7 linked regions of the Sus scrofa genome follow. The protein of the gene in region 1 interacts with the protein of each later gene in a pairwise test. Links are inferred from orthologs where the notes say so. Each region holds a gene or a part of one and is shown in the gene's direction. Other genes may lie near its edges.

Evidence for each region.
Region 2: the proteins of CCNDBP1 (region 1) and MRPL15 interact in binary tests that used the Homo sapiens proteins (3 or more experiments, as listed by UniProt). The two-hybrid records come from large-scale screens. The link is inferred for Sus scrofa from reciprocal best matches to the Homo sapiens genes CCNDBP1 and MRPL15.
Region 3: the proteins of CCNDBP1 (region 1) and PIMREG interact in binary tests that used the Homo sapiens proteins (3 or more experiments, as listed by UniProt). The two-hybrid records come from large-scale screens. The link is inferred for Sus scrofa from reciprocal best matches to the Homo sapiens genes CCNDBP1 and PIMREG.
Region 4: the proteins of CCNDBP1 (region 1) and PSMB10 interact in binary tests that used the Homo sapiens proteins (3 or more experiments, as listed by UniProt). The two-hybrid records come from large-scale screens. The link is inferred for Sus scrofa from reciprocal best matches to the Homo sapiens genes CCNDBP1 and PSMB10.
Region 5: the proteins of CCNDBP1 (region 1) and RPLP0 interact in binary tests that used the Homo sapiens proteins (3 or more experiments, as listed by UniProt). The link is inferred for Sus scrofa from reciprocal best matches to the Homo sapiens genes CCNDBP1 and RPLP0.
Region 6: the proteins of CCNDBP1 (region 1) and C7H6orf226 interact in binary tests that used the Homo sapiens proteins (3 or more experiments, as listed by UniProt). The two-hybrid records come from large-scale screens. The link is inferred for Sus scrofa from reciprocal best matches to the Homo sapiens genes CCNDBP1 and PEX39.
Region 7: the proteins of CCNDBP1 (region 1) and ILF2 interact in a two-hybrid assay, tested with the Homo sapiens proteins (2 studies listed by BioGRID and IntAct). The two-hybrid records come from large-scale screens. The link is inferred for Sus scrofa from reciprocal best matches to the Homo sapiens genes CCNDBP1 and ILF2.

What each region holds. Positions count from the first base shown.
Region 1 is NC_010443.5:128,266,717-128,270,750, reverse strand, and holds the start of CCNDBP1 (cyclin-D1-binding protein 1), read left to right. Parts: upstream 1-1,226; 5' UTR 1,227-1,353; coding exon 1,354-1,507; intron 1,508-1,682; coding exon 1,683-1,742; intron 1,743-2,034; coding exon 2,035-2,114; intron 2,115-4,034. Other genes in the region: TMEM62 (transmembrane protein 62), read left to right, coding at 315-641. UniProt on the Homo sapiens protein: May negatively regulate cell cycle progression. May act at least in part via inhibition of the cyclin-D1/CDK4 complex, thereby preventing phosphorylation of RB1 and blocking E2F-dependent transcription.
Region 2 is NC_010446.5:77,073,010-77,077,058, reverse strand, and holds the start of MRPL15 (39S ribosomal protein L15, mitochondrial), read left to right. Parts: upstream 1-1,236; 5' UTR 1,237-1,518; coding exon 1,519-1,626; intron 1,627-2,396; coding exon 2,397-2,551; intron 2,552-3,517; coding exon 3,518-3,683; intron 3,684-4,049.
Region 3 is NC_010454.4:50,900,427-50,904,494, reverse strand, and holds the start of PIMREG (protein FAM64A), read left to right. Parts: upstream 1-1,256; 5' UTR 1,257-1,354; intron 1,355-1,882; 5' UTR 1,883-1,917; coding exon 1,918-2,211; intron 2,212-3,557; coding exon 3,558-3,820; intron 3,821-4,068. UniProt on the Homo sapiens protein: During mitosis, may play a role in the control of metaphase-to-anaphase transition.
Region 4 is NC_010448.4:28,544,810-28,549,109, reverse strand, and holds PSMB10 (proteasome subunit beta type-10), read left to right. Parts: upstream 1-1,500; 5' UTR 1,501-1,598; coding exon 1,599-1,654; intron 1,655-1,865; coding exon 1,866-1,953; intron 1,954-2,043; coding exon 2,044-2,141; intron 2,142-2,235; coding exon 2,236-2,376; intron 2,377-2,647; coding exon 2,648-2,763; intron 2,764-2,873; coding exon 2,874-2,932; intron 2,933-3,752; coding exon 3,753-3,904; intron 3,905-4,025; coding exon 4,026-4,137; 3' UTR 4,138-4,200; downstream 4,201-4,300. UniProt on the Homo sapiens protein: The proteasome is a multicatalytic proteinase complex which is characterized by its ability to cleave peptides with Arg, Phe, Tyr, Leu, and Glu adjacent to the leaving group at neutral or slightly basic pH.
Region 5 is NC_010456.5:40,221,141-40,225,145, reverse strand, and holds the start of RPLP0 (60S acidic ribosomal protein P0), read left to right. Parts: upstream 1-1,202; 5' UTR 1,203-1,227; intron 1,228-1,472; 5' UTR 1,473-1,520; coding exon 1,521-1,574; intron 1,575-2,485; coding exon 2,486-2,661; intron 2,662-2,761; coding exon 2,762-2,849; intron 2,850-2,986; coding exon 2,987-3,133; intron 3,134-3,239; coding exon 3,240-3,425; intron 3,426-4,005.
Region 6 is NC_010449.5:37,986,232-37,989,470, reverse strand, and holds C7H6orf226 (uncharacterized protein C6orf226 homolog), read left to right. Parts: upstream 1-1,214; 5' UTR 1,215-1,901; coding exon 1,902-2,240; 3' UTR 2,241-2,729; downstream 2,730-3,239. UniProt on the Homo sapiens protein: May be a peroxin involved in the PTS2-mediated protein import pathway.
Region 7 is NC_010446.5:95,979,513-95,983,671, forward strand, and holds the start of ILF2 (interleukin enhancer-binding factor 2), read left to right. Parts: upstream 1-1,349; 5' UTR 1,350-1,471; coding exon 1,472-1,476; intron 1,477-2,176; coding exon 2,177-2,236; intron 2,237-2,452; coding exon 2,453-2,495; intron 2,496-2,936; coding exon 2,937-3,041; intron 3,042-3,426; coding exon 3,427-3,504; intron 3,505-3,607; coding exon 3,608-3,710; intron 3,711-4,159. UniProt on the Homo sapiens protein: Chromatin-interacting protein that forms a stable heterodimer with interleukin enhancer-binding factor 3/ILF3 and plays a role in several biological processes including transcription, innate immunity or cell growth.

The sequences.
Region 1 (4,034 bases):
AGAGAAAATATTGATACCCTATCCACCCTCACTCTGCCTAAAAAAAAAAAAGAGTATTGTATATACTTAAACATTATTTGCCGCTTTCACATAAATAAAATGCCTTTAATGTGAATGAAAGGATACAGGCAAATAAACAGCTAACTAAAAATTGCAAGTGTTATAAGCAAGTGTGATTGAAACATAATGAATCAGATTGTTAACTCCCAAGAGAGAAAGCAGTATATTTTTAGGAGCCACCAATAATGTGTTAGTGAGACCCAACTCCTCCAGGACTTGCTCATAATCTAATGGTTCTGTTCTGCTCTTTCCAGCTGGTGTTTTTTAACATCCCCTTGATGGCTTACCTGTGTTGGAGTTTGCTGCAGCGGTGCTTTGGTCACAACTTCAGGTCTCATCTCCGTCAAGGAAAATACTTGAAAATTATACCTGTTCATCTACTTATGTTACTGCTGTACATCTGGCAGATTTATTCCTGCTACTTTCTTCATATGACATATGGCACTCTAGCTTTATTATTCTCCCCTTTGCGGACCTGGCTGACACTGGTGACACCTGTTCTCATTCGTTGTGTGTGGACACTGAACTCCACAGAGCTTGGAACCTTCATAGTGCAGTTAAAAAGCCACCTGAGTTCCTGAAGGCCATGTCTCATCATCCAGCTCTAGCCCAGGCCTCTGCCCCCCGAAACAGGCGGAAGGCCAATACTAGTAGGCAAGCTTCAGGGAGCTGCTGTTTCTTGGCCGCCTGGGAGGTGGGGGGATTCCCCACTACTGATTTCCTGCATAATGGACTGCAGGAAAAAAATCTCTAAATAATGCCATGATTCCTTCCTTCCCTAAGAAGGCAGAAGGTTGATTTACTTTTGTGAAGAGAGAGCCCTAATCTAGGAGATCCACAGGGCAGGAGCTGGTGTGTTTGGTAGTATGTGAACCCAGTGTTTTTTTAACGTTACCTCATGTAAAGTACCTAGCACAGTGTCTGGAACTCAGCAGGGGACAAGGGCGCCACCACTTGAGGGGCAGGGAACCAGTGCAAACTTGGGCCTGACCCTGACTACCCTTGATTAGTTCCTGGTCCTCTTTTCCCACAGGGTTCTCTGCTTCCTCTGTCGGAGGTGTTTGCCACTAATCAAATAAATGAATAATGAATAAGAAATAACTCTGCGTCGCCTTGCGTGTGTGGTCAGGGCCCGGCGCGGGGGTGGAGTCACGTCGGGGCGGGGCGGGCGGCTTCTCTTGTTGCCGGAAGCGAACCCGCATCCGTGACGCCCGGAAGTGGAGTGGCTACTGCTGTGCGGCTCAGGCGGCTTCCGTGGCAGCTAAGTACGCTGGCTCCCAGAGTCCTACTGGGATGGCGAATGCAGCTCCCCCTGATGCTCCAGTCCCCACCCTGGCTGTGCCTTTGGAGCAGCTCCGGCACCTAGCAGAGGAGCTTCGGTTGCTCCTTCCTGGAGTGCGGGGTGAGCTGACACAGTGGAGACGGACCCCCACAGGGACCGGCGTGGGTAGGGAGAAGCCGGGCCAGGGCGGCGGCGGCACCAGGGAGCGAGGGATGGGGGAGTCGGGGGAGGGGAGGGCGGCAGGGCCCGGCGGGAGCGGAGGAAATGGGGGCCTCAGGTAGCGCCGCTTACCTCTGCTCTTCCTTTTGCGGTGGCCCGGCCCACACGCCGAACCCACTAGTCGGCGAAGCCCGGGAGACTACCAAGGAGTTTAATCGGGAGACCTTTTGGAGAAGATTCAGTGAGTGCCTCTCTTGTTGGAGACTGCCATCTCTCATCTCTTCAGTTGTCCCTGTCCCTTTCCTTCCTGCTTTTCCCCGGCCTGTCCCCTCTGTGGGGATACCTCATCTTACCCATTCTCGGCATCTCTGAGGTTGAGATTTAAAACACTGATTTTTGGAGGTGTTTTGAGACGTCTAAGCCGGCAAGGGTGGAGAGGGAACGTGTTATCTTCACAGCCCGTCCAGCAGCTGCAGCCTTATCCGTTTGGCACTAACATACTGGCTTCTGCCTCCTCCTCTGACTCTTCCCAGATGAGGCAGCTGTGACAGTGTCCACGGAAGCCACTACTCTGACCGTAGTCTTTTCCCGACTTCCACTGCCATCTCCTCAGGTGGGCTTTACTTTTCTGGAATCCTTGTAGTGCCTCTTTATTCTTTAGGAATCCTTTCATTTTCTTTCATGTTTTACACTCAAAGCAAGGGATTTCTTTCTTCCTTCCTCCCACCCTCCCTTTCTCCCGGACTTCCTTCTTTCCTCCTTTCTTTCTTTCCTGCACCCGCAGCTCTCGGAAGTTCCTAGGCCAGGAATCAAACATGAGCCACAGCAGTGACAACACCAAATCCTTAATTGCTAGGAGATCAGGAAACTCCTTAGCGTGGAATTTAGTTTTCTCATCTGTCAAGTAAGATTGCATATCTTATTGACTTCATAGGAACATTAACCTCAAGAGTTCTCATATCACAGGAATATTCTGAAAACCAAGTTGTCAGGTGCAGTACTTGACATGGAGTAGGCAGCTCTTCTAAACATTGGTTCTTTTTTTGTGTTTGCTTTTTAGGGCTGTACCTGTGGCATATGGAAGTTCCCATGCTAGGGGCCAAATTGGAGCTGCAGCTGTCAGCCTATGCCACAGCCACACCAGATCCAAGCCAGTCTGAGACCTACACCACAGCTCATAGCAACGCTGGATTCTTAACCCACTGAGCGAGGCCAGGGTGAAACTCGAGTCCTCATGGATACTAGTTGGGTTTGTTACCACTGAGCCACAACAGGAACTTCAGTGAGTTCAATGAGGTTCAAAATGAACCTCAATATTGGTTCATTTTGAGGTTCATCCTGGTTATTTCCTTTCTGATAATTTTTTATTTTAAGCACTTGCTATTTACTGGGTGTTTTCAGATACATGATCCCTATTTGACAGATGAACAAGCAGGCTCAAAGGCTTCGGTTAAGGTAGATAAGTAGGGGTGCTAGGATTAAAATTAGGTTCTGGGATTCTCTTGTGGCTCAGCAGGTTAAGGATCTGGCATTGTGACTGCTGTGGCTCTGGTTACAGCTGTGGCAAGTGTTCCATCCCTGGCCCAGGAACTTTGGCATGCTGTGGGCCCAGCCAAAAACAAAAACAAAATAAATTAGGTTCTGTCTCATGTCTAAGCTACACCTATTCTGTTATACTACAAAACACCTTTTTTATATTGAATTATTTTTTATAATTAGTAACGATGAATTAGTATAAAATTCAAAAGATATCAAAACCTAAATTAAGTGTGCTGAAAAGTTTATATCTCCCCTCGCTTATTCCTTTTGTGTTATTCCCTATATATACTATGAATATACCCACTTAACGTGTATGTGCCTACTTCTTCTTATGGTAAAATATCTTAAACATTTTTCTGGACTTTCCTTTTTTTTAAAAAAATTTAACAACATAGCTTGAAAATTGATTTTTAGAAGTAGGTATAAAGTTGCTCAATTCTTTGTAATGGCTGTGTGATATTCAATAGTGTGGATATAACTATAGTTTATGTTTGTCTTTTTTTTTTTTTTTTTTTTTTGGTCTTCTCTAGGGCTGCACCTGCGACATATGGAGGTTCCCAGGCCAGGGGTCCAATTGGAGCTGTAGCTGCCAGCCTACAGCACAGCCACAGCAAAGCCAGATCCAAGTTGCATCTGCAACCTCCACCACAGCTCACAGTGGAGCAATCCTTAACCCACTGAGCGAGGGCAGGGATCAAACCCGCATCCTCATGGATCCTAGTCGGGCTCCTTGCCACTGCACCATGATGGGAACTGCCAACCATAGTTTATTTAACCAGTACTGTGTGGACATTTAAGCTGTTTCCAACTTGTAACTGTTATAAACAGTGCTGTTCTAAATTGCCTAACACAATCTTTGTTTATATCTGTATATCAGTAAAAATTCCTAAAAATGGAATTGCTAGATAAAAGAGTGTATGCTTTAGTGTAAAAACCTTGAAAGTAAATATTGTTGGCTGTGGCCAGGTATGCTCTATGTCCAGTATTTCTTGAA
Region 2 (4,049 bases), on another chromosome or scaffold:
AACTCCAATTTGACCCCTAGCCTGAGAACTTCCATATGCCATAGATGCGGCCTTAAAAAAAAAAAAGGAAGTAGCTGTGCTCCACAAAGTTATTTCTTACTTACACTAACAGGAACAGCAGGAACAACACCCCAGACAGTGAAACAAAAAAAAAAAAAAAAAAAAAAAAAAAAATTAGAAGAAAAAGAAAGAAGCATGGTCTATATTACACTCACTTAAGACAAAAATAGGGAAGCTCATATTTTATTCAGTGAAAATGTTACGTATTTTGTGCTGCAGATATTCAGCTTCATGTTATAAAAAAATATTACTTATGTAATAGGAGCCAAAGTACAAATCTTGTCTCTGCGGCTTGCTGAGATCTTAGTCCAACTACCAACCCTGCCAAGTCTGTCAAAGGTGATAAAACATCTACCCCACGAGGAGTTGTTTAGTTGAACAAAATGAGGCTGAATCAGCACGTGACTGACATACCAAGCACTCAGCCTGGCTCCTTCATTATTAACAGCTTTTGAGTTAGTATCTCAGTGACTCAGTCAAAGCATAACAGAGGCACTCAGACTGGATGCAGGGTTTTGAGTCTTTTTCACAGTTGCTACTAGCCAGCCATTGCAATACCTAGACCTCAGGTATTCTTATCTCACTGGTGCCAACTAAAAATTGGCACTAGCCATCTGTCTCTCCTAGGATTGTTAGTAGCCACTGCAGCTGCTGAGCTTCAACACATACTGAAAGCATGGAGATCAGAAATGTGCTCTGGGAAAAACTGGCAGAACAACTTTCACATAGATATTTTCGGGGGATTTTATGAACCCAAATTTTTACATCTCCTGTCTAGAAAAGCCGTAAAGTCATTAACCATGGTATTTGTTCCTGATGACTAGCAGGAAACGTCTGCCAAAACGTGTGCTTGATTGCACGTACCCCCTTCACTAAAATCGTATACACTGACCTTCCCCCTACCTCTTCAAAGCAGTTCCTCAGAGGTCCCTGAAACGCTGTTTCCCAGACTTTATAGTCATTTTGCCCCAAATAAAACTTAACTTCCAACCTTTACATTGCACAACTTTTTTTCAGGCCATAGTGTATACAACTGGCCCAGCGCAAGCTAGTGCTTCAGCGTCCAGGTGATCTTATTCTGCACTCCACCTGGAGCTCAGAGACAGCCCTGCTTCTAAGGACCAGACGTTGTGACAGCACAGGCCAGGGACTCCTACACACAGCGTTTTCAGTGCCTGCCTGGTGCAGCGCAAGAGAACGCTGCACATTCAGAGCCGGGGTCGGGGCACGACCTCTCGAAATAGCCCAGCCCCAACCAACTGAAAACAAAGCCGGATCACGCCGCTACGAGGTAGACATGGGGAGACACGTGCTGCCTCCAACGCGGAGCCGGCTCCCGGTGTGCCCCGCGGCAAGCGGCGCAGCGGACTGACAGCACGACAGGGGCGGTGCCGCGGCCGTAAAGCAGCGTCCCAGATCACGTGGATCGGCGCCCTTGCGGCTTTTGCGGCACGGGTTATGGGCGGCCCCGTGCAGGGCGGTGGGCCCCGGGCCCTGGACCTGCTGCGAGCCCTTCCCCGTGTGAGTCTGGCCAACCTGAAGCCGAACCCGGGCTCCAGGAAACCGGTAAGGCTGCGGATGTCGGCGCGGTGGCGGGGTCCTGAGGGTTGTGAGTCCATAGGCTCTGGGAGGAGGGAGGGGCTGCCGGGCCCCAGGTCTCCTTGAGTGACGTGGGAAAACCTGACCACGTGGTTTCAGTTCTCTGCAAGGTTCGGGTTTAAGAGCATAATTATTTTACTATCGAGGAGCGAAATCGCAGGAGTTAAAAACGACTGTCTCGTTAAGACGGGTTTTAATGAAGTTTTTTCCATTGTGTCTTTATCTTTATAGGAAAGATACTATGTTCGATGTTTCTTCTGTAAATCTCTGAGCTGTTAGTGGACGTACTGTCACTTTAAGAACTCCTTGATTTCGTGAAGTGACAGGAAATTAAGTTAAATAAAATACTATATATGGGCAACAGTGGCATATTTACAATTAATTTCAAAATAAATGCACTTGAATATTACATAAATTTTGCTAGTCGTGGATGTTTAATTCTAGAATTTTCTTCAATTCCCGCCTGTCATAGAATCCTTTTTCTCATCTCATTCTTGGAACTTTGCCTTTGAAACACAACTTGGTTGCAAGAATCAGCTACGTCTTCAGAGGCAAAGCTGTTAGTGTTGAGTATTTGGATTTCAGGGCAGCCAGGATGGTGTCTGGAACCTTGTAAATTTGGCTATTGCTAGCTGGTTGGATGAATGAAGGGCATAACCAAAAGATACAGCACAAAGGTGAAATATGATTTAAACAGATGCGTGTGTGGATCATAAAACATTCCTCTTTCCTTGTAGGAAAGACGACCAAGAGGTCGGAGAAGAGGCAGAAAATGTGGCAGAGGCCACAAGGGAGAACGGCAGAGAGGAACCCGGCCCCGATTGGGCTTTGAGGGAGGCCAGACTCCATTCTACCTTCGAATCCCAAAATATGGCTTTAATGAAGGACATAGGTAACTTTGCTTTGCTTCTCAACCTGAAAATCTCTAATTCTTACTGAGAATCACCTAAAAATAGCTTGGTAGAAATTTAAATCCACTTGAAGCAAACTTGCTCCTGTTGCTGTGACCCACTTTTGGTAATGAAACTTAGCCTGATTTAGTAGGGAAAAAAAAGCCAGACTTTGCACTCAGACCTGCCAAATGGAGATACTTACAGAGCCTGCTCTTGAGGTTGTTTAGCACAACAATATATATAAAAATCTGGTCCTCTATCATCACCCAATACATGATAACTACCATTACTTTGAGTTCTTTTTTTTTTTTTTTGTCCTTTCTAGGGCCGCTCCCACAGCATGTGGATGTTCCCAGGCTAGGGGTCAAATCGGAGCCGTAGCTGCCAGCCAGAGCCACAGCAACTCGGGATCCGAGCCGCATCTGTGACCTACACCACAGCTCATGGCAATGCCGGATCCTCAACCCACTTGAGCAAGGACAGGGATCGAACCCGAAACCCCATGGTTCCTAGTCGGATTCGTCAACCACTGAGCCACGACGGGAACTCCCCTAGCCTTGTCTTTGACCTACACCACAGCTTATGGCAATGCTGGATCCTTGACACACCGATCAAGGCCAGGGATCAAATCTGTGTCCTCATGGATACTAGTTAGGTTTATTACCCTTGAGCTGACGGGAACTCCCTGAATTCCTTTAGTGAATAATTCAGATAGTGTGTTAAATTTTTCAGTATTTGTTTATATGTGTGAGTGAAGTAAATGCTTAGGCCAGTAATTTTTAAGGAAACAAAGTAAGTACTTAATGGTTTTGTTTTGTTGCCAAAATTCAAGGAGTATTACATGTTTATAGTATACTCAGGAGTTTCATTAAACCATCTAAATTGAGGGAGGAAAACATAGGACAAAGCCTTGGATCTCACAGGAAGATAAGTCTGACTGCGTTTTCAACTTTCTTGTTCTGCAGCTTCCGACACCAGTATCAGCCTTTGAGTCTCAATAGACTGCAGTATCTTATTGACTTGGGTCGAGTTGATCCTACACAACCTATTGACTTAACCCAGCTTGTCAATGGCAGGGGTGTGACCATCCAGCCATCTAAGAGGGATTATGGTGTCCAGCTGGTAGAGGAGGTAAGTCTGGATTCAAGTTTTTGGAATTACATAGAAGCCTATTTCTGATTTCCATTCAGTCCACATGCTGCTGCCTTTATTTTGATCCCTTTTGAGTTGTGATAACCATTATGTGGTGGCGCTTGTGCTCTGCTCAGTTGTGGTTTTAGAAAGCTGCTGGCTCTCTCCGGTGGGACAGTGGCAGGCCATTCCCTGGTCCTGGAATGCTCTTCTCTGTGTCTGTTCTCCTTGCTCTCTCCCTCCCTTTGACCTCCATTCAGATGTCATCCCAATAGGAAGATCTTTCTGACATCCTTTATAAAGCAGCCATAAGCAGCAGCCTTACTATGCCCAGGGGGCTTTTCTTTGAACATATGAACACCTGCC
Region 3 (4,068 bases), on another chromosome or scaffold:
CTTTGCTGTGAGGATTAAGGAACACTAAAGAAAGGAAACACGCTTAAAGCTATTGTATCTATTGCATTCCTGCCCCTGCTGTAAGTGCCAGGCACGGGACAGGTACAGATGGACAATGGCAACAAGACAATCTAATTGGAGATAATTTGTTTCTAAGCATGGCATCTTCAGTGAGACTTTCCCGCTAAACGTTCAACTTAGTTTCTAGAAAAATAACTCTTCTTTCCCCCTCATATTTCATTGGTAGAGGACATGAATTAAATTCCCTAATTACAATAACGAACTCAGCAAGTGTACAAGATGTGTGGGAACCAGTACTTCCGACGCCTGGGAAACAACTCGACTAGGGGATGAGGTTGAACAGGCGCAACAAAATGGCATTTTTCAAACCGCAGCTCACCACTCTCAGTGAGCCATTGTAAAGGAAGTAGGTTGTCATCAGCATTTTGAAAAATGAAATAGGAAATAAAATATAAAAGCACCTCACATATAGTCAAGTATCATTTTAGGAAACTCTTCAGTTACACAAGTGTGTGTGCTGGGGGCGGGGCTGTCTCACGATGGGTCCTGGGCCCCCAAACATGATGTTCCTAGTGCGAGAACCCCACTTCTAAACGGCGGCTTTTTGAGCCGGTTTGGATGCTAAAGGGAGGGAGAGGTACTCAACTGGGTGGAGGGGAGGGTCCTTGGGACGGGGTGGGGGGCGTACGTATAGGAGGTGGAGAAGCGCACCCTGTCCCCTGGTGCAGGATGGGTTTTCCTGGAGGTTAGCGTGGGTGGCAAGTTTGAGGAACAGAGGGGCAGTGCCTTGTCTCAGGAAGGCAGAGGGTCACGAGGGAAGTTTGAAACAAAACTTCCACAGGAACCCAGGGCTCCGAGCTCCCCGCCCAGGCTCTTTGTGACAAAACCGCCGAAACCTCCAGGGGGATCGGAGGGACCGCTAGGACCCCGGGACCCCGCCTCCGCCCCGCCCAGTCAGACCTACTGGAACCCTTTGTAGTCAAGGAGGGGACCCAGCAGCCCCAGGCCGAGTGTCAGGAGGTGGCGCGGGCGGCTGGATCTGCGCGGAACAAGGATTCTGCAGGCAGCGCGGGCGGGACCCTCAAATACAAAGGGTCTCGCAGCCCTGCCGAGGTCAGGAGGGATGAAAGGGGACCGCCGGGCCAATCCGATAGCAAGATTCACAGTCGCGAGCTCAGGAGCCAATCGGACCCCCGGAGCAGCAGCGAGGCGGGTACGGAGCCAATCATCTGTGAGGAAAGGGCGAGGGGGCGGATCCGCGTGGAGTTTCAAATCGGATGGGTGGGCGAGGAGCAGCTGTGCTCAGCGTCGGGTCAGCGTTGGACGCTGCTGCGTGAGTACCGGCCAGGCGTGGTGGGGCTTCTGTTCAGAAGGGACAGGGAGGGGGTGGGGAGACACTAGTCAGGACGGGCTCGGCACGTGGGGCTTCTAGGTATAGGCAAGTGGAAATCAGGGTGTCTGGTCAGCCCAGCGGAGCGCGTTGGGTCCGGACGAGCTCGTGAAGAGCCGCTAGTCCTGATCTGGGCCAAGTGCTGAGGCTCGGCGACAGCGGGTCCTGACATCCTCCCTCCCTGCTTGCGGCAGATAAAGGAAAGGGGCAGGGATGAAATGACAGCTGTTTCAGATACTTGCAGCTGGAGATGCCTTTGCTCACAAGCCTTGTTCAGCCTCTGTGGTCTTCTGGGCCTCGCTGAGCCCTCCCTCTCCAGGAAGCATGCTCCTCACTGCACTTGCAGTTGCCAAGTGCCCCACCCCATGGGCTTCCATCCCATCTCTTCCCCTGGGTCTCAGGGTCTCTGTGGAGCCTGGGAATGAGATGGGGGCGTTGCTTTGCTGACCTCCCCTTTGATCCCCTCCCCAGGGTCTGCTGGGCAGGACAGACTCTCGGCCAGGCAGATGTCTTCTCGGTGGCCAAGCGTGGGGGTCTCCATGCGTCGGAGATCTCTCCAGAACCAGGAGCAGCTGGAGGAGAGCGAGGTCCTACAGCCTGCAGTCAGCCACCCGGATACCTCCAGTGGGGCCTTGGGATCCCTCTGCAGACAGTTCCAAAGGAGGCTGCCCCTGAGAGCAGTCAGCCTCAACCTTGGGGCAGGCCCCTCCTGGAAACGCCTGGAAACTCCAGAACCAGGGCAGCAGGGCCTCCAGGCTGCAGCTCGCTCAGCTAAGAACGCCTTGGGTGCCATGTCTCAGGTAAAGCTGACCCTGTCCAGGTATGGAGGGCTTCCTAGAGGCTGGACAATGGCTGCCTCCAAGAATAGAGACACCGAGAATACAGGGACTTGGACTTGCTCCTCGCTGTGTCCCCAGCACTCCCAGTAGTTCCTGGCACATAGTAGGTGCTCAACAAATAGCTGAACAAGTGAATGAAAACGGTGTTATGGAGCAAACAGAGCCTCACAAGACAAGACACTAGAGCTCTATTGTGATAGAAAATGGCAAGCAAATGGTGGGGGAAATACCAAAAAGAATTGCAGTCAGTGAAGGCTTCCCGGAGGTGGTGACTCCAATAGAATTCACCCAGGAAAGGGGAAGGAGGAGTGTACAAGGCAGGTGAAATAGGCTAGGGTTGAGAGAGAGCATGATGCTGAAGAGAACGTTCAGGAACTCAGTCTGGATATGGCTGGAGGACAGAGAGCAAGATGGAACATTACATGGCGAGGGGGACCGGCATGCTGAGTATGTTTAGATGTTCCCAGGAGCGACAGGGAGCCAGTGGGAAGAATTTTCAACAGAGTGGGAATGGGGTCCGGTTAGCCTGTCAGAACTTGTTCTTTAGCTACTTGATGGAATGCGGGTGAGAAGCAGACTCACCCCCAAAGGGGGCCTGGTGGCCGGGCCATACAGAGGAGTGAACAACTTCAAGAACTTCTCAGAAGGTAGATTTGAGAGGATCTGGCATCCAGTGAGACATGTGCCCAGGAAGATGCCACAGGTGTTGCGGGTGACATGTGCCTGGGCCTTCCAAGTGGGTGTATCTCCAAACTGGGGGCCGCGGTGTGGGGAGGTGTCATCCAGGAAGGCGAGGAGCTGTGAGTGTGGACACGGGGCGGGGGGGCATCTCCCTGGGGTCTGACCGGGAATCTGAAGGTGCAGGAGAGGGAGGCTGTTTCTGGACCCTTTGCGAAATCTCTGAGCCTAAGGCCGGTCCTTGAAAATGATGTCTGGGCAGCAAGGGGGAGGGTGGATTTGAGCGGGGCAGATCGAGGCAGGGAGAGCGATCAGGTCACAGTATCCTGGGGGCAGACGTGGTCTCTGGGCCTCCCCTTTGAGTCTGGGTCAGTCCGTGTCCTGAAAGAGGGTTTAAACTTAGACCAAGCAGACACCCCCCCCCCCCCGCCAGGGCGTTCCTACGGCGACCACGCACTCCTCCTGGGGGGCTCTGGGCTGGGTCCCTGCTGTGGCCCCTTTCACATGGGCTCATCTACATCCCTCACCCTGAGACTAACAGCTTCCTGGACGTGTCGGACCAGCCTGGGGACACTAGGGAATCTCTGCCTTGGCTTGTCCTTGCTGATGGTGCTGTGTACCTGTCACAGAGATTCCAGGAGTCCTGCCACAGCGGCACTAAGTGGCTGGTGGAAACCCAGGTGAAGGCCAGGAGGAGGAAGAGAGGGGCCCAAAAGGGCAGTAGTCCCCTGGCTCGCAGCCTGAGCCACAGGAGCAGCCAGCTGTCCGGGGCCGCCCCTGCCTGCTCCACCCTGGGACCCTGGGACCCTCGGGCCGTCCCTCGGCGGCGGTCCAGGAGAGAGGCCGCCTTCCGGAGCCCCTATTCCTCAGCAGAGCCCCTCTGCTCCCCCAGGTAAGTGGGGTGCTGATTCGCACTGGGGCTCCCTGGAGCCAGGACCACCCTAAGCTGAGTCATACCCGGGGCTCTGGCCCAGCTCTGCGTCCCGAGAGGGGTGGACCTGGGGAGGCCTTTCAAGGCCTTAGCTTCCCATCTGCAAAGGAAGGGGTGAGCTTGACTCTGAGAGAATCACAGTCCCTGGGCTCCTCTGAGCCCAGATGCGAGTTGTGACGCCATCGGAGGGCTGAGGCTCAGTCTCAAGT
Region 4 (4,300 bases), on another chromosome or scaffold:
CAGCAGAAACGAATCCAACTAGGAACCATGAGGTTGTGGGTTCTGTCCCTAGCCTCGCTCAGTGGGTTAAGGATCCAGCGTTGCTGTGAGCTGTGGTGTAGGTCACAGAGGTGGCTCAGATCCCGCGTTGCTGTGGCTCTGGTGTAGGCTGGCAGCTACAGCTCCGATTAGACCCCTGGCCTGGGAACCTCCATATGCCGTGGGCACAGCCTAAAAACCATGAGTCACAAAGACACATGTACTCCGATGTTCATTGCAGCACTATTTTCAATAGCCAAAACATGGAAACAACCTAAATGTCCATCAACAGAGGAGTGGATTAAGAAGATGTGGTACATATACACAATGGAATATTACTCAGCCATTAAAAAGAACGAAATACCAGCATTTTTAGCAACATGGATGGACCTAGAAATTATCATGCTACGTGAAGTCAGCCATACAATGAGATACCAACATCAAATGCTTTCACTGACATGTGGAATCTGAAAAAAAGGACAGACTGAACTTCTTTGCAGAAAAGATACTGACTCACAGACATTGAAAAACTTATGGTCTCCAGAGGAGACAGTTTGGGGGATGGGGGGATGTGCTTGGGTGTGGGATGGAAATCCTGTGAAATCAGATTGTTATGATCATTATACAACTACAGATGTGATAAAGTCATTTAAGTAATAAAAAATAAATTTTAAAAAGGACAAAAAGACAAAAATAAATAAATGAATAAATAAATAAATAAATAAATAAATAGGAAAGAGTATGACCAGATTTCCAATCTAGTAAAAAGCCCCGTCTCTGCAGGGTAGAGTGTAGCCTGTGCTGGAAGATGAGGGGCAGGAAGTGTGGGGAAACCAGGGAGGCCAGTGTAGAATCTAGGGGAGAGATACTGCTAGTTGAGATAAGCAGTAATTAGGAGAAAGATCTGGATAGATCAAGGGTCATTTGGGAAGTGAAAAAAGGCTTGGCCATGGGTAGAGCCCAGAATGTGTATGGGCCACCAGATGAACAGCCATGGCACCGTTCCTGAGAGAGAGAAAACAGCACCTGAAACAGGGATGATGGAAGGATCGGCATTGCCTTGGCCAAGGATTGAGCCTTGGAGTCTGAGGTTTGATGGAAAAGGCTAAGGCAGCAAAATAGGCAGGAGTTGGGAGAAGGAGAGTAATAAAAGACAATAGGCAGCTGATGCTGTTGGCAGGCCAGTAACAATGAGATCAGAGACTTGGTCAGTGTGACAGCTTGGGGCATTGGGACTTGCAATTAGAGTTGGGGTCAGAGTAGGCAGAGCTCAGGGCTCAGGCGGGACAATGGCCAGAAGGGAGGTATTTGTTGCTGTATCAGACAGAGGCCTGGGAGCAACATGGAGAACCAGGCAAGGGACATCTCACCCTTGCCAAGCTGCATAGGACCAGAGGTGAAGGTGAAAGTGAAAGAGGATGCAGAAAGGAGCCATCATGCTGTGAGGAAATGTGAAAGCGAAAGCAGTTAAGCTCAGTCGTGCAGGACAAGGACAAAGGACAAGGCTGTGGCCTTCTTTGCTTGGTGCTGGTCCTACTCCTCTGACCTCCATACCCCTGGACTGCCCTGCCCACCTGGACATGCAGAAGATAGCGCTAGAGCCCCTAGGGGGCTTTTCCTTTGAGAACTGCCAGAGGTGAGTGGGGGGATGATTGGTCCCCAGCTGCCTAGGTCCTCAGTGAGGGTCTCTGGGAGTGGGAGAACCAGGATCTTTAAAAGTAAGACGACGACTTGGGTTCCGAGGCTTACATGGAGAAGTGAGAGAAACGTGGACGGAGTTGGAGAATGTGATTGGGGGAGGGGGATCCCATAAGAAAAGAAACCTGAGACTTTTCCCTCCGTTCCAGAAATGCATCCTTGGAACGCGCCCTCCCTGGGTTCCGGGTCCCTCACGCACTCAAGACGGGGACCACCATTGCAGGTCTTGTATTCCAGGTGAGCAAGAAGTTGTGACTGTGGGGCGTGGAGGGGCGGCCGGGAATAGGAAGTGGGCAATGACCTAACGGCTTCTCCCCTCTTCTCCAGGACGGGGTAATCCTGGGCGCGGATACGCGGGCCACTAACGACTCGGTCGTGGCGGACAAGAGCTGCGAAAAGATCCACTTCATCGCCCCCAAAATCTAGTGAGCATTCCTCTCAAGAACTGCCCCTTAGTTCCCCGTCCCTGGTCTCCGCACACCTTAGCCCCGACCACATGGACCCTCCCTTCACCCTCAGCTGCTGTGGGGCTGGAGTAGCCGCGGACGCCGAGATGACCACGCGGATGGCGGCATCCAACATAGAGCTACACGCACTATCCACCGGCCGCGAGCCGCGCGTGGCCACTGTCACTCGCATGTTACGCCAGAAGCTCTTCCGGTGCTGGAGCTGGGCTAAGACGACCCTGGGGAGGGGCAGTTGCAGGGAAGGTGGGGCTGATAGGAGGTGGGACAAGAGGAAGGACAGGGCTGCGAGGTGCCGGGAGACCGGAAGAGGTCAGCCTAAGAGGAGTTAAGAAGGCAACCGGAAGCAGCAATGTCAGTCATGGGGCTCCAGACCACGGGAAGGGGCGGGGCTCGGGTGCAGGACCATGGAGGGGAGGGACCTGGGTCCTGGTTTGTTTGGCTGACTGCGCCCACTTGCGGAAAAGGTACCAGGGCCATGTGGGCGCGTCGCTAATCGTGGGCGGCATAGACTTCACAGGACCCCAGCTCTACAGCGTGCACCCCCATGGGTCCTACAGCCGTCTGCCCTTCACGGCCCTAGGTGAGCCCTTCCATCCCTTCCCCACGAATCCCACGTATACCATCCTGGCCTCCCGTTTCTCCCGCGACCATGCGGCCGCGGCTGACCTCAGATACCCCTCCTGTCTACAGGCTCCGGCCAAGATGCAGCCCTGGCAGTGCTAGAAGACCGGTTCCAGCCCAACATGACTGTGAGTGACATCTGCGCCCCACTAGGCATTGCATTGGTGGGAAGTGCACTTGGGAGCTGGGGAAACACAGAGGTACCCTGGCCTAATCCGGAGGTCAGGAAAAGCTTTTCAGAGGTGATGACTGAGTACAGGAGGAGAAGCCAGTGGAGCGAGGGTGGAGAAGTGCAATTCCAACAGACCACTGTCAATGCCAAAGCTTGGACTGCATGGAGAGGTCAAAACTCAGAGAGGACCATTTAGAGCTAAGGGAGGAGAGAACAACAGGTGGGGTCTGGAGTCTGGGTCTTGTTTTGAGGTGGATGGAAAGAGAGGCATATGTCACTTCATAGGTGCCTAAGGCCCAGAAAGAAAAAGGAAATGAGCCTGGGATTGGGGGCCAAGACTACACTGGGTGAGTGAATAGGCCCCTGGAACCAGAGCCACAGGTGTGACTCAGAGAAGTTTGTGAAGATGGGGCATTGGGAACACCGGGTCTCTGGAGAGAGGGAAACTGACACCCGGGGAGAGGAGCTTGAGGTGGAGATGGGAGTATAAGGTGAGAGCAGATGGTAAATAGCAGTGCCCGAGTTCCCGTCATGGCTCAGTGGTAACGAACCTGACTAGGATCCATGAAGATGTGGGTTCGATCCCTGGCCTTGCTCAGTGGGTGAAGAATCTGGTGTTGCCACGAGCTGCGGTATAAATTGCAGATGCGGCTCAGATTTGGCGTTGCCGTTGCTGTGGCTGTGGAGTAGGCAGGGAAGAGATCAGCAATCTCCAGGCTATAGCCTAAGGGTGATACCACAGTGTCCGTCAGGGCTTCACACATGCATTGTTACAGCTGGAGGCAGCACAGGGGCTGCTGGTGGAAGCCATTACTGCAGGGATCCTAAGTGACCTGGGCTCTGGGGGCAATGTGGATGCATGTGTGATCATGGGGACCGGTGCCAAGCTGCTGCGAACACTGAGCTCTCCCACAAAGCCCACAGAAAGGTAAGAGCATGGAAGATGGGGGAACAAAGGAGAGGATAGGGTGGCAGCAAGGGAGATGGGCTGCAAAGAGAGGATTGACCACGTGATGGGCCCATTTTGAGAGGTCATCTCTTCTTCCCAGATCCAGCCAGTATCGCTTTGCCCCTGGGACCACAGCTGTCCTGTCCCAGACAGTGATGCCGCTGACCCTGGAGCTGGTGGAAGAAACTGTGCAGGCCATGGATGTGGAGTGAAGTAAGCCTAGGCTTACTTGGAATAAGGAACAAGGAGGAATAAACCCAGAAAACACCAACACCTAAGCAGATTGCTGTGTTGTTCTTGGGTAGAAGGAGCAAGCAGCTAGCAGGGCTCTGTGACTAAGGTCCCTGCAGGGGCCACTCATGCCTATGGCTGCAG
Region 5 (4,005 bases), on another chromosome or scaffold:
TCCTAACACATATCTCGCAGTAATCCTCATAACAGTTCTAGAATGTGAATACTATTATCTCCATTTTACAGATAAAGAAACAGAGTCAGCAAGGTGAAATCGCTTCCTGAGATGACACAACCAGCAAGTGGCAGAACAAGAATATGGATCCAGGTTATCTGATTGCAAACCCTGCATTCTTTTCTTCAACAAATATTTAGCATATGCCTATTATGCCAGGTATAAGGCAAAAATAGAGACACGAAACAATGTAACAAATTATATAGTGTGCTGTGTAAGTGCTATAGGAACAGAGGAAAGAGGGAGTGGAAGTGGGTTTTCTTTTTTTTGTCTTTTCTAGGGCGTGCAGCATATGGAGGTTCCCTGGCTAGGGGTCGAATCGGAGCTGCAGCCAGCAGCCTACGCCAGAGCCACAGCAACGCGGGATGCGAACCGCGTCTGCGACCTACACCACAGCTCTAGGCAACGCGGGATCTTTAACTCACTGACGGAGTGCAGGGATCAAACCCGCACTCGAATGCGGGTTTCTAGTCGAATTCGTTAACCATGAGCCACGACGGGAACTCCATATTATTATTTTCCTTTTAGGGGTGGAATGGGGAGCTGCAGCTGCGGATTCGAGCCGCATCTGTGACCTACGCTGCAGCTTGCTGCAAAGCCGGATCCTTAACCCACTGAGCGAGGCCAGGGATGGAACCGGCATCCTCACGGAGATTACGTCTGGTCTTTAACCCGTAGAACCATAATGGAAACTCTGAGACTTAGGTTTTAAAGCATCCCTTTGTTTCCAAAGAGCGAAGAACTGTAGAAGAAACAAGAAACCATTCTGCTTCTCAACCATGTACAATTATTTCTCAGCTCCACGTCATACTCTTCAGCTTGCGACTTGGCCAGGTGACAGAAGGAAACGTGGACTCAGGTCACAAACTCTAGCTTCTCTACACGAGAACAGCTCCAGCCCAGCAGAGGGAAGCACCTCTGAGAAACCTCCTTCCACACACAGCAGTGCTTTCTTTAGCTACCGTGTTTAAAGGCAGCGTCCCGTTGGCTGGAGTGGCAGCGATACCATCCAATGGCTGCATAGATCAACCCAGCTTCTCCAGACAGACGTTGAAGCCAGCCAATAGGCGGGGGCGCTGTCTGCGGCTTTGGATTGGCTGTTTTGTTCACATATAAAAGACTCGCGCCGGCGTACAGCCCTCCTCTCGCCAGGCGTCCTCGTGTGAGGTCTGTTCGTCCGCTGTGGTAGCGTAGGGGACTGGCGGCGGGAGAAATGAGGCTTTCGGGTATATTTTCGGGGGCCGCGGGGTCCAGGCCTCTCTGGCCTGGGGCTCCGCTGGCGGCAAGTCCAGGGCCCGTTCGGGCCGCCGGGCGCGGGAGAGTGGTCTCCTCCCCTAGGCCTCGGGTTTGGAGCCCGCCGCTCCGTGGGGACGCGTGTTGGAGTATGCTGAATTTTCTCTCTTTTTTCTCAGTGACATCGTCTTTAAACCCTGCGTGGCAATCCCTGACGCACCGCCGTGATGCCCAGGGAAGACAGGGCGACCTGGAAGTCCAACTACTTCCTTAAGATAATCGTAAGTGCGGGGTAGGTCTCGGCCGCCCACTGTGGTGCCTTGCCCGGGGCAGTAATAGGGACAACCAGCGGCCAGGTGCTGAGTGCCTGCAGGTGGCCAACCATCAAATTAGGTCGTTTTAGGCAAGTCTTCTTTAATCTTAATAATTTCCTGAGGTCAGCGTTCCTCTGCTTCCTTGTGTTGCAGATAAACAGGCTCAGGCAGGTTAAATGGCTCTTAAGAGTACTTCTAAAGATCTCTGGTCATACTTTTACTTTTTTGTATCCATCTTTGGGGAAGTCTGAGGCACTGAATGATTCATTATAAAGAGGCAAGTTGCTGCAGATTTAGATCCTGTCAAGAAACTAATTCAGTGAATGTTTTCTTTTGGGTGGCCTTGAGGTGGGTCTTCGCTGCCCAGAATTGTTGATCATCAGGTCATGCTGCTCTTTAGGCGTTAGGCAGCTTTGTGGACCTTAGTCCATTATGTTTTCCATTTTTCATGATTTTGAGACAAAAAACTTAAAGGAATTTTTCAATGATCCATACTTGAAACCTAAATTCTACAAGTAATGTTTTGCTGTGTTTGCCTTACTTTGTATTTTCAAAACTGGGTTTTGTTAATGCAGCCATTTTAGTGGATCAGAAACATGCCTTAATTGAGAAAAATTAAGAATGGAAGCTACAATTAAACCTTTGGGTTGAATGTAGAAACATGATCTTACCATTCATACCCCACAAGCAAATCTTAGGCAAATCTGGCTCTCACAGCTCAGGTGCCTGCTAGTAGGAGGAATTGTCTTAACCTCAGACATTTGAAAAGCATAAAAAGGAGTGAGTGAAACGGAAACTTGAGATTGTGGGATTTGGTTTTTCTTGATCCTTTCTTTTTCCTTCTGTTAACATTGCTCGTGTCTGGCTTGTTTGGGCAGCAACTTCTGGATGATTATCCGAAATGCTTCATTGTGGGAGCAGACAATGTGGGCTCCAAGCAGATGCAGCAGATCCGCATGTCTCTCCGCGGGAAAGCCGTGGTGCTGATGGGCAAGAACACCATGATGCGCAAGGCCATCCGAGGGCACCTGGAAAACAACCCAGCCCTGGAGAAGTCAGTCATTCCTCCTGGGCATCTTTGTCCATCCTTCTCCCTTTTCCTGGAGAAGAATGGTGCTCAAAGTTAACCGTCTCTTGTAAACTTCTCTTTGCAGACTGTTGCCTCACATCCGGGGGAACGTGGGCTTTGTGTTCACCAAGGAGGACCTCACTGAGATCAGGGACATGCTGCTGGCCAATAAGGTGAGGGGAGAATCAGCTTGGCTGAAGAGGCCTTATCATTAATTTTGGCTCCTTAAAAGCAAGAAAAAAAGAAGACAATCTTTTTCAGGTTGTAGCTGTGGAAAGAAGTTTTCTCATTGTTTGTCCTTTTTGTTCAGGTGCCAGCTGCCGCCCGTGCTGGTGCCATAGCCCCATGCGAAGTCACTGTACCTGCCCAGAACACTGGTCTGGGGCCTGAGAAGACCTCCTTCTTCCAGGCTTTAGGCATCACCACTAAAATCTCCAGGGGCACCATTGAAATCCTGGTGAGTGGGCCTGGCTTGGCCTGTGCCAGCCAGGCAGGTGGCGGGGGCTTGGTTGCTGTGGACCTGCTGGATGTCTGGGTTAACTGTCACCTACCTTGTTTTTCAGAGTGATGTGCAGCTGATTAAGACTGGAGACAAAGTGGGAGCCAGTGAAGCCACGTTGCTGAACATGTTGAACATCTCCCCCTTCTCCTTTGGGCTGATCATCCAGCAGGTGTTTGACAATGGCAGCATCTACAACCCTGAAGTGCTTGACATCACCGAGGAAACTCTGCATTCTCGCTTCCTGGAGGTACAGGCTGTCCATCCCAGGCCTTTCATTTTTTTTTTTTTTTTTTTTTCTTTTTAGGGCTGCACTCGCACCATACGGAGGTTTCCAGGCTAGGGGTCTAAACGGAGCTACAGCTGCCGGCCTATGCCACAGCCACAGCAACACCAGATCCGAGCCATGTCTGCAACCTACATCACAGCTCACAGCAACGCCAGATCCTTAACCCACTGAGCGCGGCCACGAATTAAACCCACAACCTCGTGGTTCCTAGTCAGATTCCTTTCTGCTAAGCCATGATAAGAACTCCTCCAGGACTTTCTTATATTAATAGTTGAGAGCATATCTAGCTTCAGAGGGAATCCTGGCCATGCGGCTGACTTGCAGTATAATAATCAAAGACAGTTTAATCTCTTATCTCAGTTTCCTCATCTGTAAAATGGCAAGAACAGTATAAAATTGATGAAGGATTTAACAAATTAATGAGTATACAGTGCTGGGCACACAGTAAGGGCTGTTATGCTAGGGCCTGTAATAAGACATGAGATTTCGAATAGAGTCAATCAGTGAAAGGAAGAATGAGAAAAATGAGGTAGTTAATGGA
Region 6 (3,239 bases), on another chromosome or scaffold:
CAGCTGGACCAGCCAGATGAAGAGGCGCATAGGGCAAGGTCTGGGAGGGTCCTGCATGCAGGGCTTCTGTGTCATTCATCTCCTCCTGGAACCAGGGCATGTCCCCTCCTGATACATTGATGAGTTCACCAATCAGGAAGCTCCACTGAGCTTTGTGTCCAGAGTTGCTTTAGGGGTTTTATTACATAGGCATGGCTGAATAAATCATAGGCTGGAGACTGAATTCAATTTCCAGGCCTCTTTCCTGGACCCTTCATGAGTCAAAGCCCCAACCCTCCAATCACATGACTGGTCAGCACCAATCCTGAAACCACTTAGGGGCCACCATGACTCACCTCCTTGGCATAAACTGTCAGGGCCCACCATGAATATCACTTCTAATACTTGGGAAATGCCAGGGACAAAGACCAGTCAAATTCTTCTTTTTTGGGGGGGCTCTGTGCCTTCAGCAATGTGGAGGTTCCGGGGTCAGGGATCAAACCCATGCTATAGCAGTGACCTGAGCCACGGCAGGAATAGCTCCAAATCCTTAACCCTCTGTGCCAGCTTCAGATACTTAACCCTCTATGCCACAAGGGAAGTCCTCAAATTCCTTATTATACAAGACTTGGTATGGTCAGTTTCCTCAAGACTGGCTTCTCAAGGTCACCCTTATTAACTTTTAATTTCAACAAGTTACAAACCATTTAGATCCACCAATTCCAGCAATTTTTCCACATTTGCTTTTTTTCCCCTCCCTTTTTCGTTGTGACATTTCACCCATAAATACTTCAGGATGTATCTCTTATAAACAAGGTCATTCTCTAACATAGCCAGAGCACAATTGTGTACTTAATTTAACACTGATATACAGTTAAACTGTATCATCTGTTATTAGATGATAACACTGTCATCTAATACACAGGTCAATTCAAAATTTCCCAAGGGTTAAAATGTCCTTTGTAACTGATTTTCCCCTCATCTAGATCCAATCCAGGATCACACTTTGTATTTTTCAGTCTCCTTTAGTCTGACACAGTTCCTCAGTCTTTTTCCTTCTGTCTTTGTCTTTTATGACACTGACAACTATAAAGTGTCCAGGTCATTTTGCAGAATGTCTGTCATTTTGGTTTGTCTACTCATTTCCTCAAGTTTAGATTCAGAGTGAACATTTTTAGCAGGAACACTACAGAAGTGAGGCTGTGTTCCTACACCTGCAGCCCCTCTCAGTGCATCACTTCAGGAGACATCTGATGCTAGTTTGTTCTATTACTATTAATTAAGCTTTGCTCACTTGATTAAGGTGGTGAGTGTCGGATCTGGCTAGTTTCTGATAAACTTAGAAACCTGAGCTTTATTGACACTGACTTCCTAAGCAGGTGGAAGGAAGCTGTAGCAGCCTGGTCCGCCTTCATCTTCTCTCTTCCACTATGGGAACACCAGGAATTGTCTTGAAGGCAGGGAATGGGGAGAGAGCCGTGGCATCACTTATTCCCAGTTCTTCTGAAACCACTTGCAGACATTTCCTCCGTTATTTTCTGTCTGGTGCTGCAGGAGCCCCGGATGGAGGTTATCCTCCTGCCACGCATCTATGCAATAATCCCTGTACTCTATGCACTTCAGCGTGTGCATGAAAGCCGGTATGTTCGTGATGCCCGTGCATTTGTGAAAATTCGTGTCTTTTTACCTATATCTCCGTGTCAGCTGTGCAAGACTTCGGGGTTCTAAAGCTTTCAACGTTAGAGGCTCTTGGGCAGGGTAAGCCTTAAGTGTGAGCGAGGCGTTTCTTCGCGGAGCTGGTCGTCCAGTGCTCCCCCGCTCTCTGGGCTGCTTGGTACGGTCTATGCTCCCCCCTTCACTTCCTCCTACAATGGTTGCATCCATCCCTCCCGGAAGAGAAGCGCGCAGGTTCGGAGCCTGTCATGGAACAGCCAGGCAGTTCAAGCCCTAGCGGCGGAGGTCCTGTACCGGAGAAGTCAGCCCCGGCCTCGGTGACCCTGGCGCGTCTTCTGCAGCTGGTGCAGCAGGGCCAGGAGCTTCCGGGCCTGGAGAGGCCTCTTGTCGCGGCGACCCTCAGCGAACCCACGGCGTCCCAGCTCCCGCGGAGGCCCAAGCCCTGGGAGGTCTCAGCCGAGGCCCCAGGGCCGCCCTTCCAGACCGCGGGCCACAGGCCTGCCGACCCTCCCTGTGGGCAGAGGAATCGCCTGGAGGAGCCTGACTCGGAGAAGGGTACTACCGGCGCCTTACTAGGTGGAACTTAGTGGATTCTTGAGGTTTGAGATCCTTTATAGCTGTGAATGAAAAACGCCTGTCAAATCTGCGAGGGATGCTGCAGTCGTGAAGCCATCAGCCAATACTGCCGCCCACCCAGCGGTGGAGACAGATGGCTGCCTGCTGCCAAGCCCTGAGCCACTGCGGCCACCCCGACGGGGGCACACTGAGGGAACTGAGACTGGGAACAAACAGGATGCTGGCTCTGGAAAGCCAAGGTGCATATCAAAGGAATGATTTAAGTGAGCCCAGACTCTGGCATCTTCCCATACATTGAAAAGTGCTAAATTCATTAACTTGAGATGTCTGGTTTTCTTTAATTAACACTACTCTTTTGATGGTCTGACTACCTGGTTTTTGTTGGAAAACTCCTGTATATCCTGGCTTCTCCCTTAGCTCTTTGGAGCTATTTGCGAGGCTGCCTCCTGGCCTTGAGTCCTCAGAAAGTCCACCAAATAAAGCATAATTTTCAAGTTTTAGGTTGTGCGGGGGTTTTTTGGTTGTTGCTGTTCTTTTTATTTGTTTTCAGTTAACAGTTTTGGTCACCATGAAGGGACCCAGAGCAGACTTCTCTGCTTCACCTGAACTCTAGGAAGAGGTCTCTTGTGCCCAACCCCCTCCTTGGAGAGGCCAGGTGAATTTGGGTAAGTCCCTCCTGCTTCTCTGATTTCCCAATTAATGGTTCATGATCCTGAGTTTTATTTGATAGTGTCTATATTGCTTACTCCCCAGTTGAAAGATACTGGGGATTGACCTCTTCCCCAGTTGATAGATGCTAGGGGAGCTCAGTTGAAAGACACTGGGAGAAAATGCCCCACCAGCTGAAAGATAACTCGGGGAGGTACTGGAATTTGCTTGGTTGAAAACATACTGAGCAGTCTGGGCTGAAAGGTTAGGTAGAAGGCTGACCTGACTATTTCCTCAAATTGGCCACCTTAACAAGAATTTGTTGGCCCAGCGGAAATGAATCTGACTAGCATCTGTGAGGA
Region 7 (4,159 bases), on another chromosome or scaffold:
GATAAATGCAGAAACATGGAAAAATTTTGAAATGTGCCAAGCAAAAGAAGCCAGAGGAAAAAGAACACATAGGCTGTGAGTCCATTTATGTGAAGAGCAGACGAAACCAATCTACAATAAGAGAAATTGGAATAGTGTTTGCCTCCAGGGGGAGAGCAAAGGCGTATAAGCCAAATTTGTCAGGTGCTAAAAATATTCTTTATGTTAATCTATGCGGTGATTACAAGGGCAGAATACATTATTCAAAAATATTGGAGCTGTAGATTTAAGATCTGTGCATTTTGCTGTAGTAAATAATACGTCAATGTAATACTTAAAAGTTACACAATAGTATATATAATTCTAGAGTCAGTGTGGTAAATTGAATTAAATTACTCCTGCATTTTTCACGAGGAGGGTAAAATTAGACTCTGCCCTTTCAAGGAGGCACGAAATTTTTAGGGTAACCACTGAGGGAGCAGAAAAAGTGCGTAACTTTCTATTGACAGAGGCAGGGAAGGAATAATAAATATTAGTCAGTGAAAAAGAAGGCAAGAAGAGGGAGAAACAGGACAAAGAGCAACTTGTAATATGATTGATTTAAATGCAACAGCAGTTTATCCTTATATGTGGCTGTGAAGCTTCGTTTAAGAGTAAAATCCACCAGGGAGGTTGCCGAGTGAGGAAAGGAGAAATGAGGGGATACTGGGCAAGAGGGATGGGTCTGGTCTTTTTCTCCAGTCATTTCCGTTGTTCTCTTCATCTGAACTCTCTTTCCTGAGGCTGTCTCAGTTTGCCTTCTAGCCCCTCCACATCAGTATTTCTCCTCTCCGATTCAATTATTATATTCAAATCCGCTTCTCCTGCCTCAAGTTTCTAGTCTCTGTGAACTACATCCAGACGTGTAGTCATAGTTGCCTAAGTCCCTTCCTATTCCATTTCGCCTGCTTGCGCCATTTGCCTGCTTTTGGCAAAAATTAGCTTCTAAGGAGGAAAACATAGGAGTGCGGTATTTACATCTACTAGAAAAACAAGAGTTTCTGTCCTGGAGTGGGAAGGAGGGGGGAAAAGAAAGAAAAGCTCTCCTAGCAGAGGATGGTTTCGATCCATCGACCTCTGGGTTATGGGCCCAGCACGCTTCCGCTGCGCCACTCTGCTAGCTCGGCAAGATATTTTTCAAAAATCGTATAGAAAGTTCTCTGAGTGTTAGCCAACCTGATTGCTCTACACCATGCCCCCTGGTGTCCGTAAAAAAAAGTCTTTCCTGTCAAGTCCTTTCTTATTGGCTGGTCCCTGACATAGTAGGGGCTTTTTATTGGTTCATAAACCCGGTTTGCTGAAGTGAACCAATAGGCATAAGTGGTGCAGAACGGCGGGAGCCAATCACGCCGGGGTTTGTTGGCATACGCCGGCAAGCCGCCTCTCCAGTTGAGGGCTTCTCGGAGGAAAGGGGCGGTTGGTGTGGCCTCCATTGTTCGGACTTTGGGACGCCATGAGGTAAGGGTCGTGGGGTGCTCTGGAAGGGTTTCGAGTATTCGACCAAAAACTTTGGGTACGCGGGCTGAAAGGACTCGGAGGTCTTGAAGGGCCGTGTATCTGGGGGCTGCACGGAAATCTGAGAACTCCCGCTTGGGAGCGTGGGGGAAGTCGGGGGCCGCGGAGGCGGGGAAACGTGGGCCAGGGATGGGGGTGGGGCCCAGGCAAGGGGAAGCGGGAGCGGGGGCGGTTAGATGAGGGGCTGTCCTCACCTCCCAGGAGGACCACCTCCCCACCCCGACCACCATCTAGACTGAGAAGGCTTGAACGTGCCTCGTTCATACTCCAGGCTAAGTGCTTGACGTATAGGGTTGCCGTTAGATGCTTTTACTAGTTACGAATAAATGAGCAATCTCGTTAGTCTCTGAAGTATTAGGGCTGGCGCGCCCCGGGAATTATGGGGCATTTCTTGTAGGGCTCACTGAACCTCGTCAGTATTTGATGTGATTAAATTACCCAGAAGGAGGCGGTCTTGGGGGTTGAGGCTGGGCGCTTGGGACGGATGGAGAGCAAGTGTTGTCAGTGGGAATGGGATCTCTTAGCTTCCAAACGGAAGTTCACGGAGATGGCGGTAAGCGAACTTGAAATCATATGGCCGGTATGGTGGAGGTCGTTTCAACGCGGTGAGAACCAAGTTAAAAATGTATTTATGCATTTCTAGGGGGGACAGAGGCCGTGGTCGTGGCGGGCGCTTTGGTTCCAGAGGAGGCCCAGGAGGAGGGTGAGTGCCAGTTTTTAGCATCTCTGCACACTTAGTTTCCATTTCAGTCACCTAAATGGGGTGTTTGGAGCGGACTAATCTTACCTGCTTTTGTGAGCTCCAGCTGTGGTTTAGAAGCATTCTTTCCGTGCTCTCCTAAATGAGAGTTCTGGCCCCTTTATGCTAAAACCACTTGATTTCTGTGGTGAATAATTTGACTTGTTTTTCATTTTTTAGGTTCAGGCCGTTTGTGCCACATATCCCATTTGATTTCTATTTGGTGAGTACCTTGACCGCAGTTCACTTGTTTCCTGGAGCCTAGGGTCTCCCTGTTAATAAAGTCAAATGGTGGTTGGAGTAGGAAAGGGGGTTAGTGAGTGGGATTGGGTTTTGAGTCAGCCTGTATTGCTTTACATACAAAAGCAGTGTAAACTGGGTGGGGAACATAGTTCCTTGACTACAGTTGGTAGTAACAGGATTAGAATCTTTGTTTTGAACAGTTAATTGTATCTTTGGTTTATCTGTTAATGTAACGGTAGTGAGAGCTTAAATTATGGCTCTTCTAGTTTCTATGCTTGTTTAAATATTTTATGGAGTTAAAAATAAGTGTTTTAGAATTTTCTCTTTTCAACTTTTTTTTGTTTTGTGGCAACAGGAAAAAACAATCTTTATTTTATGTTATTTTTGGTGGGTAGTATAAAATTGTTTATTTCTGGTTTAGTGTGAAATGGCCTTTCCTCGGGTCAAGCCAGCACCTGATGAAACTTCCTTCAGTGAGGCCTTACTGAAGAGGAATCAGGACCTGGCTCCTAATTCAGCTGAGCAGGTATATTCTGTTAGTTTTCCTCCTGAGATTTCACGAATGAAGTAGAGAAGTAAATAACTACTGGTGCCGTTACACTTATCAGAGCCTGCCCTCCCCAGAGGGTTTAATTGTTCTCCTTATTTCTCACTGTGGGTGGAGGGAGAGCACCAGGGATGATATAAACAAATTATGTGTGCATTTATATTTTTACTGGGGCATCTATCTTTGGATCAAAGTTTTCTCTTCTGGCATATTCAAAGCCAGAAGGGTCCAGAGTGTTTTCAGAGTCCGTTGTAGGTACTGATTGAGCCTGTATTGCAGGGATTAGGGGAAAACATTCAAACTTGATGAGAAGTTGCTTATCATGTTTCACCTTTATGGTATTTTTGTTTCCTGCTGTTTTCAGGCCTCTATCCTTTCTTTGGTGACAAAAATAAATAATGTGATTGACAACTTGATCGTGGCTCCAGGGACATTTGAAGTGGTGAGGTTTTGATGATTTAGTCCTAGGGAAGGGTGGCCTTGGTAGTGTGGAAGTTGCCTTGCTTGGCTCTAAGGTTTTTCTTCTGAAATTCTCTCTCCAACAGCAAATCGAAGAAGTCCGACAAGTTGGATCATATAAAAAGGGAACGATGACTACAGGACACAATGTGGCTGACCTGGTGGTAATCCTAAAGATTTTGCCAACACGTGAGTGTGCCTTTCCCTGGCCTTGGAAACAGAACATATTTGGGTTTGAGGTATAGGGATCTTTAAAGCCCATGTATCTTGTGTGAAAGGCTGTTTAGAAGACAGGTGGGAAATATATTTATTTTGGCGGGTGGGAAAATTTTTTTAATGTGTCGTATCTGAAAAAAAGTATGGCCAGTTACCAAAGGGCAGTGTGTCTCAACTGAGGGTGGTTTTGTTCCCCCATTTGGCAGCGCCTGGAGGTGTTTGGGGGCTAATGTTTTTGGGTAGAGCTCAGGGTCACCTCTAAGCATTCTACAGTGCACAAGACAGACCCTCCCTTCCAACCCCAAACAAAGAATTATCTAAGCCAAGAGGGCATTAGTGCCACTGCAGAAAAAGATGTGTGTGCTGGAGGGGATGTCCTATTCCCTGAGCCTTCCAGTTTCTCTGTCCAGGTGTTAACTTTC